Schizosaccharomyces pombe: one gene and its partner. The gene in region 1 interacts genetically with each later gene. Each region holds a gene or a part of one and is shown in the gene's direction. Other genes may lie near its edges.

Evidence for each region. Genes that interact genetically often act in the same process or in processes that back each other up.
Region 2: mutations in pin1 (region 1) and cdc10 impair growth when combined (synthetic growth defect), as found in Schizosaccharomyces pombe (one study listed by BioGRID).

The regions. Positions count from the first base shown.
Region 1 is NC_003421.2:662,560-666,604, forward strand, and holds pin1 (peptidyl-prolyl cis-trans isomerase Pin1), read left to right. Parts: upstream 1-1,972; 5' UTR 1,973-2,108; coding exon 2,109-2,509; exon of another isoform or gene 2,510-2,654; coding exon 2,655-2,781; 3' UTR 2,782-3,498; downstream 3,499-4,045. Other genes in the region: protein asi1, read right to left, coding at 1-1,429. UniProt on the Schizosaccharomyces pombe protein: Has a role in the G1/S stage transition of mitosis where it is involved in the dephosphorylation of cdc25 and wee1.
Region 2 is NC_003423.3:2,760,241-2,765,500, reverse strand, and holds cdc10 (DNA-binding transcription factor, MBF transcription factor complex subunit Cdc10), read left to right. Parts: upstream 1-1,700; 5' UTR 1,701-1,910; coding exon 1,911-4,214; 3' UTR 4,215-4,335; downstream 4,336-5,260. Other genes in the region: PAN complex subunit Ppk26, read left to right, coding at 1-27, 134-181; mmp2 (endopeptidase catalytic subunit), read left to right, coding at 505-746, 819-968, 1,036-1,186; GARP complex subunit Vps52, read right to left, coding at 4,336-5,260. UniProt on the Schizosaccharomyces pombe protein: Major component of the cell cycle transcription factor complex MBF (MCB binding factor, also known as DSC1), that controls G1-S phase specific gene expression. Involved in the control of rRNA production, via interaction with pol5.

The DNA.
Region 1 (4,045 bases):
CGTCATAAACAACTTTCCATGCATCAAAATCTTTAAAAGCTTTAAAGAAAACCTTGTTGCTCAGCATGGAAGGGAGAGCAACGCTAATCCATTTAGCATAATCAATTCCATTCGACCAGCTATGCCTCCACAGATATACAAATATGTCCATAAGACCAGAGGCTTGTGCATATTGGCTGTCATCTTCGGTCAACCACAAACACAAGGTAGCCACAGCACTGATTACAGTTACATGTGATGCTAAATTGTCACGGTTTTTATTGTTATCCCATGCATCACGAAGAAAATCCATCGTATCGCTAAACAACTCAGTAAGCGATCGCTGAAGTTGGAAAAATTTATCAGGCTCAATTCTTTGGGCAAGAACGTCACAATTTTCACATAGATATCGAATGAGGAGTCCAAGAACTTCATAGCATTCACAAACCGTGTACGACACAGTTCCATGCTTTCCTTTCTGACCAACTGCCTTAACTAGCATTCCCAGACTTCCTCGAATCTCAGCAGAGCAGCGACCAATCACCAAAATCATAAACCCATCATTTGGCATAATAGAGGCGGGACCAGCAGCTTTAAGAAGGTTAGAAAGAATAACGGTAGCTGAAGAAAGATTTTTATCGGTGATAAAGCGTTCAACAACCGCATCCATCAAAGGCTGGAGATTAGCACGAATGGCCTCGGAATACCATGATTGAACCGGGAATCGCGAAAACAAATCGCTAAAAAACGAGAAAGTACAGTCCAACTTCCATCCGCGTCGTTTGTCGATACCTTGGAAAATGGGACGCATATACGTCTGTACGTTGTCGAGGGCGTATAGTGCGTTTGAAAGGATTTCAAATGCTTGTTCAAATGGAAATTCGTTGATAATAAATGATGTATAGTAAAGGAGATACTTAGCTGATTTTGGGTTGGAAGACAAAGTACATATAACCGGGATACAAAGATCATAATGTTTCAAACAACACTGTAGTAAAGTAGAAACCCTTTTTTTCACTTCATAACTTCGTAAAATGGCTTCTTCACTGCAGAAAGCGAGAAGGATGGAGACGCCCAAATCTACGTACTCGTAATGAGTGGAAAGGAGCAAGCGGTCCAAAAACTTCATATCCATCCTTTCCCAGCATTTGAAGATGAGATTGGGATGATCATTGAGTAATTTTGCAAGCATGGTCAATGACACAAATTTACTTGTATCGTCCTGGGCATGCAGCAAAGAAAAACAGTTTTCCAACAACTCCATAGAACCTCTCGACTCGCCGGAAGCATTTGAATCCTCGTCCTTATCAGTAACAAAATGAACCTCCGTTACATGGTCCTCACTCAGCTTTTCAGACGCATACGAGTCATCTTCGGAGAGAAGCTGCTCATACGATATAGTGCGCACGCCTTTGGGACCCTTGTGAAGATGAAAGTGTGGAATATGCATTAAGGTGAATTGAATTGTACCTCAATAACCTATTATTTATGAAAAAAAAACTTAAAACCGAGCTCTTCTCACTGCAGTCTACGACACTAAGTAAACTTTGACAAACGAAAAGAGGAATGCACCAAAAGTCTAACAATTTTCAAATCCAACAAATTTTCGTTCAACAATCCGAAATCTCCAAACTTCTCACCTTTTTCCTCAAATTCCACTCAAATCTGCCAGAAAAAAAATGTTTCTACTTCAAATTACACCAATTTTTCTTGATTAATTAAATAAATATCGAATTTGTAGTCCTCTACGACTTTTTACTCTTTCAAGCTAGGTGTTCCGCTTATGCTGAGGCAAAAAGGCATGCCTTGAGTTTTGTCTCCAATTGACGAATAAGGTATGCCCTATCTTCTGGTACTTTGGAAAGTGCCCCCACTTGGGATAAAAAGGTAGAATGCCCCCATTTCCTTTCCTATCGAAGGCCTTAGTGGTGGTTGACATAGCAACATAGCAAATGTGCTTTATTTACATAATAGATGGCAAACGACTCTAGCTACTACGTGACTCTAAACAAAGCAAATAAACAAGCTTCAAATTGCAGAGATTGAACGTGTTTTGCTTGTAATTTATAGTTGAGGATTTTTTCTGTCTTAGTGAATCCATTTTTTGAAGAAGCGTTGTGGTAAAAAAAATGTCTAATACTGGGTTACCCAAACCATGGATTGTCAAGATTTCACGCTCCAGAAATCGTCCCTACTTCTTTAATACTGAGACGCATGAGTCTTTATGGGAGCCTCCGGCTGCCACTGATATGGCTGCCCTGAAAAAGTTCATTGCAAACGAGTTGCAGGAGTCAGTTACACCCACCGAGGCAAGCAATTCACCCAAGATTCGTGCTAGCCATTTACTCGTAAAGCATCGAGAAAGCCGTCGTCCCAGCTCATGGAAGGAGGAGCACATTACTAGGAGCAAGGAGGAGGCGAGGAAGCTGGCTGAACACTATGAACAATTGCTAAAGAGTGGCTCTGTAAGCATGCATGATTTAGCCATGAAAGAGTCGGATTGTAGCTCCGCTCGTCGCGGAGGTGAATTGTATGTATTTTGATATACTGTAATTAAATACGAGTCGCAAGACCGACAGTATATGGTGGTGCCACACTTGGTGATAAGCTCTTGTTGGTTTGCCAAGTGTAGTCTGATTTTCAACTGGAACGATTTTTACTAACACTATGTGTAGAGGCGAATTTGGAAGAGACGAAATGCAAAAACCGTTTGAAGACGCTGCGTTTGCCTTGAAACCCGGTGAAATTAGTGGAGTGGTTGAAACGAGCAGTGGGTTTCACATCATTCAAAGACACGCTTAATTCATTTGCAAAACAATTACCTAATAATATTAATGAGTATGCTTTATTTCTTATTTTCACTTACTCCCTTTCCGTATGCTTGAAAAAGCAAACAAAATGTTTGTCTTGTTTTGTCACAAATTTATCTCTTCTGATGATTTTTTACATTTTGTTGACCATTTTCCCAAAGGAGAATATTCACAATTGTCGCTTTGTATGTCCCTTATTTCTGACGTTCACCCGTTTATAATACATTTTAACTTAGTATTTAAGTGTTTGCCCATTCATGAACACGAGCCAGCTTACTACCTAGGTTGAAAACAAAATGATTTGATTTCGCTTTGCTATTGATTGAAAAAGCTTTGATGAAAAATGATAAAGTAACTGATTGATGTTTCGAGATTTCTGTTCACTTTAAAAATTTTCACAGATTTTCTACTTTACATGAATGTTAACTTTATTAGAAAAAGTAATTACAAATTTATCTTTTGCATATTTCATTTGAGGTTTTATGGTTGTAGTCATTTTTTTATGCTATATTTATTTATTTGTTTATTTTTCTTTATACCTACACAAGTCTTTTTTCGTTTTTTTTCTCTAACCAACCCCATGCACTGATTTACAATAAAACAATTAATATCCGGCAAAGTGAAAATGCAGCATCCCATTTTTTACGCTATAGAGGTGAGTAGAATTCTTCAGCATTTGGAACCCATTTAATAAATTTATTTGAACCGACTTCGTACTAAATTCTATCTTTCTGTATTTTATAAAGCGAATCCATATATCAGCTAGTAAAGGAATATTTGATAATTTATAGGAATCCAAATGTGTTTACACAGTAGGGGCCTGAATTATGAAAAAAAGTGTTCTTTTTTAAAAAAAATAGTAATGATAATAATTTAAATTAGGGATTATTTTAAGTAACGTTAAATCTCATCTTGAACATTTAGTATTGTAAAATGAGTTGTATTAAAATAACAATTGTATAGCTATCAGAGTTTATTATTAAACTTCGTTAATACAATTAAATCTTTCAAAATAAAAGAAATATTTTTTTTTAATAAGCTTAAGAATCTATTATTGGGATAGTTTGCCGGTCGAAGCAATGATACTTTAGTCAATGTAAAAAAGAAGTCAAACAGTTAAAAACCTTTAAATTTGAAAGTTAATTTCAATCAATTGTTGATGTGCCAAAAATAATAAAAATAAATAGAAAAATAGCTAAGGTACTGTTGACTACTGAAGGAATTTTTTTTGAAACAAATATGGCATTCGATTCAAA
Region 2 (5,260 bases), on another chromosome or scaffold:
GATTGTGTTTCAGTTTCTTATGGGGAGGTAAGTATTTGCTCAAAAAGCCATAGTGGGTGCTTAGTAAATTAGACTACTTTTCCACACTATATAGCCTGTTTGTTTGCAAAATTACTAACAATAACAAATGTAGCTAAAAGCTTGGTTGGACAACGTTTACGAAATGGAAATAAATTCTTAAAATAAAACATTTTTCTTTACAGAATATTTATTTGTTTTTTTGTATCTATTACCATGGTTGTTAATTTAAGTAAATAATAGTTTTCGCTATAATAATATTAGAAGGAAGCTAAGCTTAATGTGGTTTTGAATTACCTACTGCAACACACCGTATTGAAACAAAAACGATCAGGAATAGAAGCCTGACACTTATCAGATAAAATTCATTAATACGTTTTCCTGGTTTAATTATTAATTACGGAAACTCCCATGCTTGTTAAGGTACATACAGACGGTTAATCATAAACTTCTTAGAGGAGAGAGTTTAGCAGTTGTCCTCAAAAAATGGCAAACCCTTTCGTTCGAAATCAATCTTTTAAATCAGTATTTTTTAAAAATTTAGTCGGAATTACCCTATGGGTACCCGTATTAATGTTCGTTGAACAACATGTAGTCAGCGTCGGTACAATTGAAGGTAGATCTATGAAACCAGCCTTTAACCCTGAGACAAACATGCTGCAGAGAGATAGGGTACTACTTTGGAAATGGAATAAGGATTACAAAAGAGGAGATGTAGTTATACTACGGTAAGTTCTTGGATCGTTGCAGGGTCTTTCGGTACTGAGTTTCCCTTTTTATCGTTACTAATAAGCAACAAGCTCTCCAGAAAACCCAGAGGAACTATTGGTAAAAAGAGTTCTAGGAGTAGAATACGATATCATGAAAACGAGACCTCCTAAAAAGTTGTCATTAGTACCCGTTCCCGAGGGACATGTGTGGGTCGAAGGCGATGAACAATTTCATTCTATGTAGGTTTCCAACAATTGTTTTTTTACTTTTTCGTTTTCTTCTATAGAGATATTAACTAGTTTACAGTGATAGTAACAAATTTGGCCCAGTATCGACAGGACTCATCACTGCCAAAGTGATTGCAATTTTGTTTCCCTTCTCTCGTGCAGGGCGTATTGATCATGAAGGTTTCCGAAAGAATGCAGTGTTTTTAAGTGGAAAACGTTCTGTTAAGTAAGCTGCACCACAGTGAACCTGTTTCCTTGACAGTTTAGTTCCATGCTGGTTGGTGCTTATTTACATTTCTTTTAAGGAACACGTTATCCTTAAATTTAATTTATTTCGACGCGTCGCGTTCTATATATGACGTCATTAATATGTCTATCTATTTACCTATTTGAAAAAGATGGAAGTTGGAAGCTACTTTGTATTAGAAATACCAATAAAAAAATATAATTTTTTCATACTCAACATCAAAACTTTTATTTAGGGAAAATTAGAATTGACTGAAAAATCCGTCTCTTTTGCATATCCCGAAACAGTAAAGTCGTTGAGTATAGCAAAGTTGGAAATTTTTCAACAGGGTATTTGAAATGAGAAAGAATTCCATTTCTAAGTAGCCTTTAAATAAAACCCCCAGAAGAAACGAACATTGAAGTAGTCCTTTGTTTTCCTTAGGAAGCCTCATATATCGTTACTTCGAATACGGTCTAACGCCGTACCAAATGTATACAGCTGCGTGAACCTTCCCAGAGCGAATTTGTGTATAACACGAAATCCGAAAAAATTACTTCTATTTATTTGAAAAAGAAAGGAATTCACAATCTCTTAAACAAACCAAGTGGTGAGGAGCTCGAGTCTTCTTTCATGGTCAGTTCAGCACCCTTATTTTCGAGAAAAACGTGCTGCCCTTTATAAAAAATTCGATATTTTTTCGGCATTTTTTATTTTAATATACTATAATGGCTTCAGCCAATTTTATTCGCCAGTTTGAGCTGGGGAACGATTCTTTTTCATACCAAAAACGCCCAGAGGATGAGCCATCACAACCCCTTTCAAACAGAAATATAAACAAACTAAACGATTCATCTACTTTAAAAGACTCTAGTTCAAGGATTTTTATTAACTCCCAAGTTTTACGTGATGGCCGACCCGTAGAATTGTATGCTGTCGAATGTTCAGGCATGAAATATATGGAGCTTAGCTGTGGGGATAATGTTGCTCTTCGAAGATGTCCAGATTCTTACTTTAATATCTCTCAAATACTTCGACTTGCTGGTACTTCGTCATCTGAAAACGCCAAAGAATTGGATGATATTATCGAGAGTGGGGACTATGAGAATGTTGACTCCAAACACCCTCAAATAGATGGAGTATGGGTTCCATATGATCGAGCAATTTCTATAGCAAAGCGATATGGGGTTTATGAAATTTTACAACCATTAATTTCTTTTAATCTTGATTTATTCCCCAAATTTTCAAAGCAGCAACAAATCGAAAGTTCTTCAATCTCCAAAAATTTAAATACTTCTTCTTTTAATACGCGATCCCCTTTGAGGAATCATAATTTTTCAAACCCTAGCAAGTCTTCAAAGAATGGGGTGCACACTATAAACAATATGCAGAGTTCACCTTCACCTTCTTCCTCTTTCTTACTACCTTTAACTCAAATTGATAGCCAAAATGTTAAACGCTCTAACAATTACCTCTCCACCTCTCCACCTATCCTTGAACAGCGTTTAAAACGGCATAGAATTGATGTCAGTGATGAAGACTTACATCCCTCCTCACAGTTAAATGATAATGAGGCCTCTTCATTGTTTCCAGATACGCCAAGGTTGAACCATTCACTTTCTTTTGTATCCTTGGTTTCTAGTCTTCCTCCACTTGATCAGAATATTATGCAGGATTATCATACATCAAAAGACATTTTGACCTCTATCTTTTTAGATGTAAACTTTGCTGATTCCAGCGCCTTAGAAGCAAAGCTGTCGGACTCATTAGATTTGGATGTCCCCATTGACGAACTTGGACACGCCGCTCTGCACTGGGCAGCAGCCGTTGCCAAAATGCCTTTGTTACAAGCCTTAATACATAAAGGAGCTAATCCTTTACGTGGCAACCTCACAGGAGAAACGGCATTAATGAGATCGGTTTTGGTAACCAATCATCTCAATCAGAACTCTTTTGGTGATTTACTAGACTTGCTTTACGCATCTCTTCCCTGTACAGATCGAGCTGGACGGACCGTCGTTCATCACATTTGTCTTACTGCAGGTATAAAAGGCCGAGGTTCAGCATCGAGATATTACTTAGAAACCTTATTAAATTGGGCAAAGAAACATGCAAGTGGTAACAACGGATATATGCTGAAAGACTTCATAAACTATTTAAATCATCAAGATAAAAATGGGGATACAGCTTTAAATATCGCAGCAAGAATTGGAAATAAGAACATTGTTGAAGTTTTAATGCAAGCCGGAGCTTCCGCTTATATTCCTAATCGTGCAGGGTTAAGCGTAGCAAATTTTGGAATTTTTGTTGAAAACGCATTAAAACAACCCGAAGACTCAAAACAAACAAAAGTTTCCCTTATGAGTGAAAATCTGTCCAGCAAAGAAAAGACTGCTGTCCCTCCTCGTCAAAAGAGTAGAGACATTATCGCCTCTGTGACCGATGTAATATCTTCTCTGGATAAAGATTTTCAGGATGAAATGGCTGCAAAACAGTCTATGATTGACTCAGCCTACACCCAATTGCGTGAATCTACAAAAAAGCTGTCCGATCTTCGTGAACAACTACACGTGTCCGAGACGCAAAGAACTTTGTTTCTTGAATTAAGGCAACGTTGTAAAAATCTTATGACTTCGATCGAAGAACAGAAAAGTGAATTAAGTAATCTTTATGAATCTTTTGATCCCAATGGAATACACGATTCATTATCATTGGATGCTGACGCTCCTTTTACTGTCAATGAAAACAACAACAAAAATTTATCTATTGCTGAATTGAAGTTTCAAGTTGCTGCTTATGAGAGAAATGAAGCCAGATTAAACGAATTAGCGAACAAACTTTGGCAACGAAATTCCAACATAAAATCAAAGTGCCGTCGGGTTGTTTCCCTATGCACCGGTGTCGATGAATCTCGAGTGGATTCATTATTGGAAAGTTTGTTACAAGCCGTGGAAAGTGACGGTCAACAGGGAGAAGTAGATATGGGTCGAGTTGCTGGATTCTTACGTGTTGTTAAAGAACATCAAGCATAATATTGCTTTTTGTGGTTTACCACTAAAGTGTCCTGAAATAATTAACTACTTTAATTTTTTTCTTAATATAGAATCCTACCAAATGAATAAAACGTAATTTATTATATGTTAATAATCTTGGCTATTGGAAATTAGTTAAATTTTCATTAAGCTTTTCGAAATATGTTTTTTGCTCTATAGCTAAATTTCCCGATACGCCGCTAAGAACAGTCGAAATGAGGGTATAATTATTGGACAAAAACCTACTTTGTCTCCTTTTGTCATTAACTGTTTTACACAGGTTTTGTAACATGCTCACATAATCCTGAGCTAGTCTTGAAGCACTTCGTGCAACAGGCTCGGCTTCTACGACATTAACACTTAGCATCGAAAGGCTATAAAGTAGTTCAGCTACTCGCTGCGAAAGTGGATGAGGTCGCGAAGTGATTTCTTCTGGCTTCACAGATAAGTTAGTTTTACGGAGTGACTCACAGTGCATGTCCATGACAGCTTGAAAGCGAGGCCACAGAAAAAGAATCATGGAGTTATAGTGTGGCTCAATAACAGGCACTATATTAGTTTGCGCCTGTAAAGCTAATTTTTGAGTAAAACGAATGGACTTCAAAATACCTATGCAATCGATACTGCTTGATATCAATCCTGTAATGTATTTGCGTGAAAAATGTAAAGTTTTTTCAAAGATAGCGGCAAAAACGGTAGCCTGCTGATCTTTAGAGAGGTTAAAGTACTCCAGCAAAAAAGCATATTCAGAAGAGACGTGTTCCGTCAAGACTAATTCCCATGAGCAATAAACACGTTCAATATATTGTGGGGAAGATTCAATATGATGCATTGTAGATGCTGTCAACACAGAGTTCATATCAAAATCCTGAGGGCGCAAGTTTACTGAGAGCATTTGATTCCCGTAAGATTGTTGTGCTCCTTTGGAAAGGTTGAAGAGTCCTTTCCGATCCTCTTCAACGCGAATAGTTTCTCCCTTAAGGACATGAACTTTGTCCAAAAACCTAGAGTACTGTTCGAAGTGGTATAGATAAAACCAATTCATC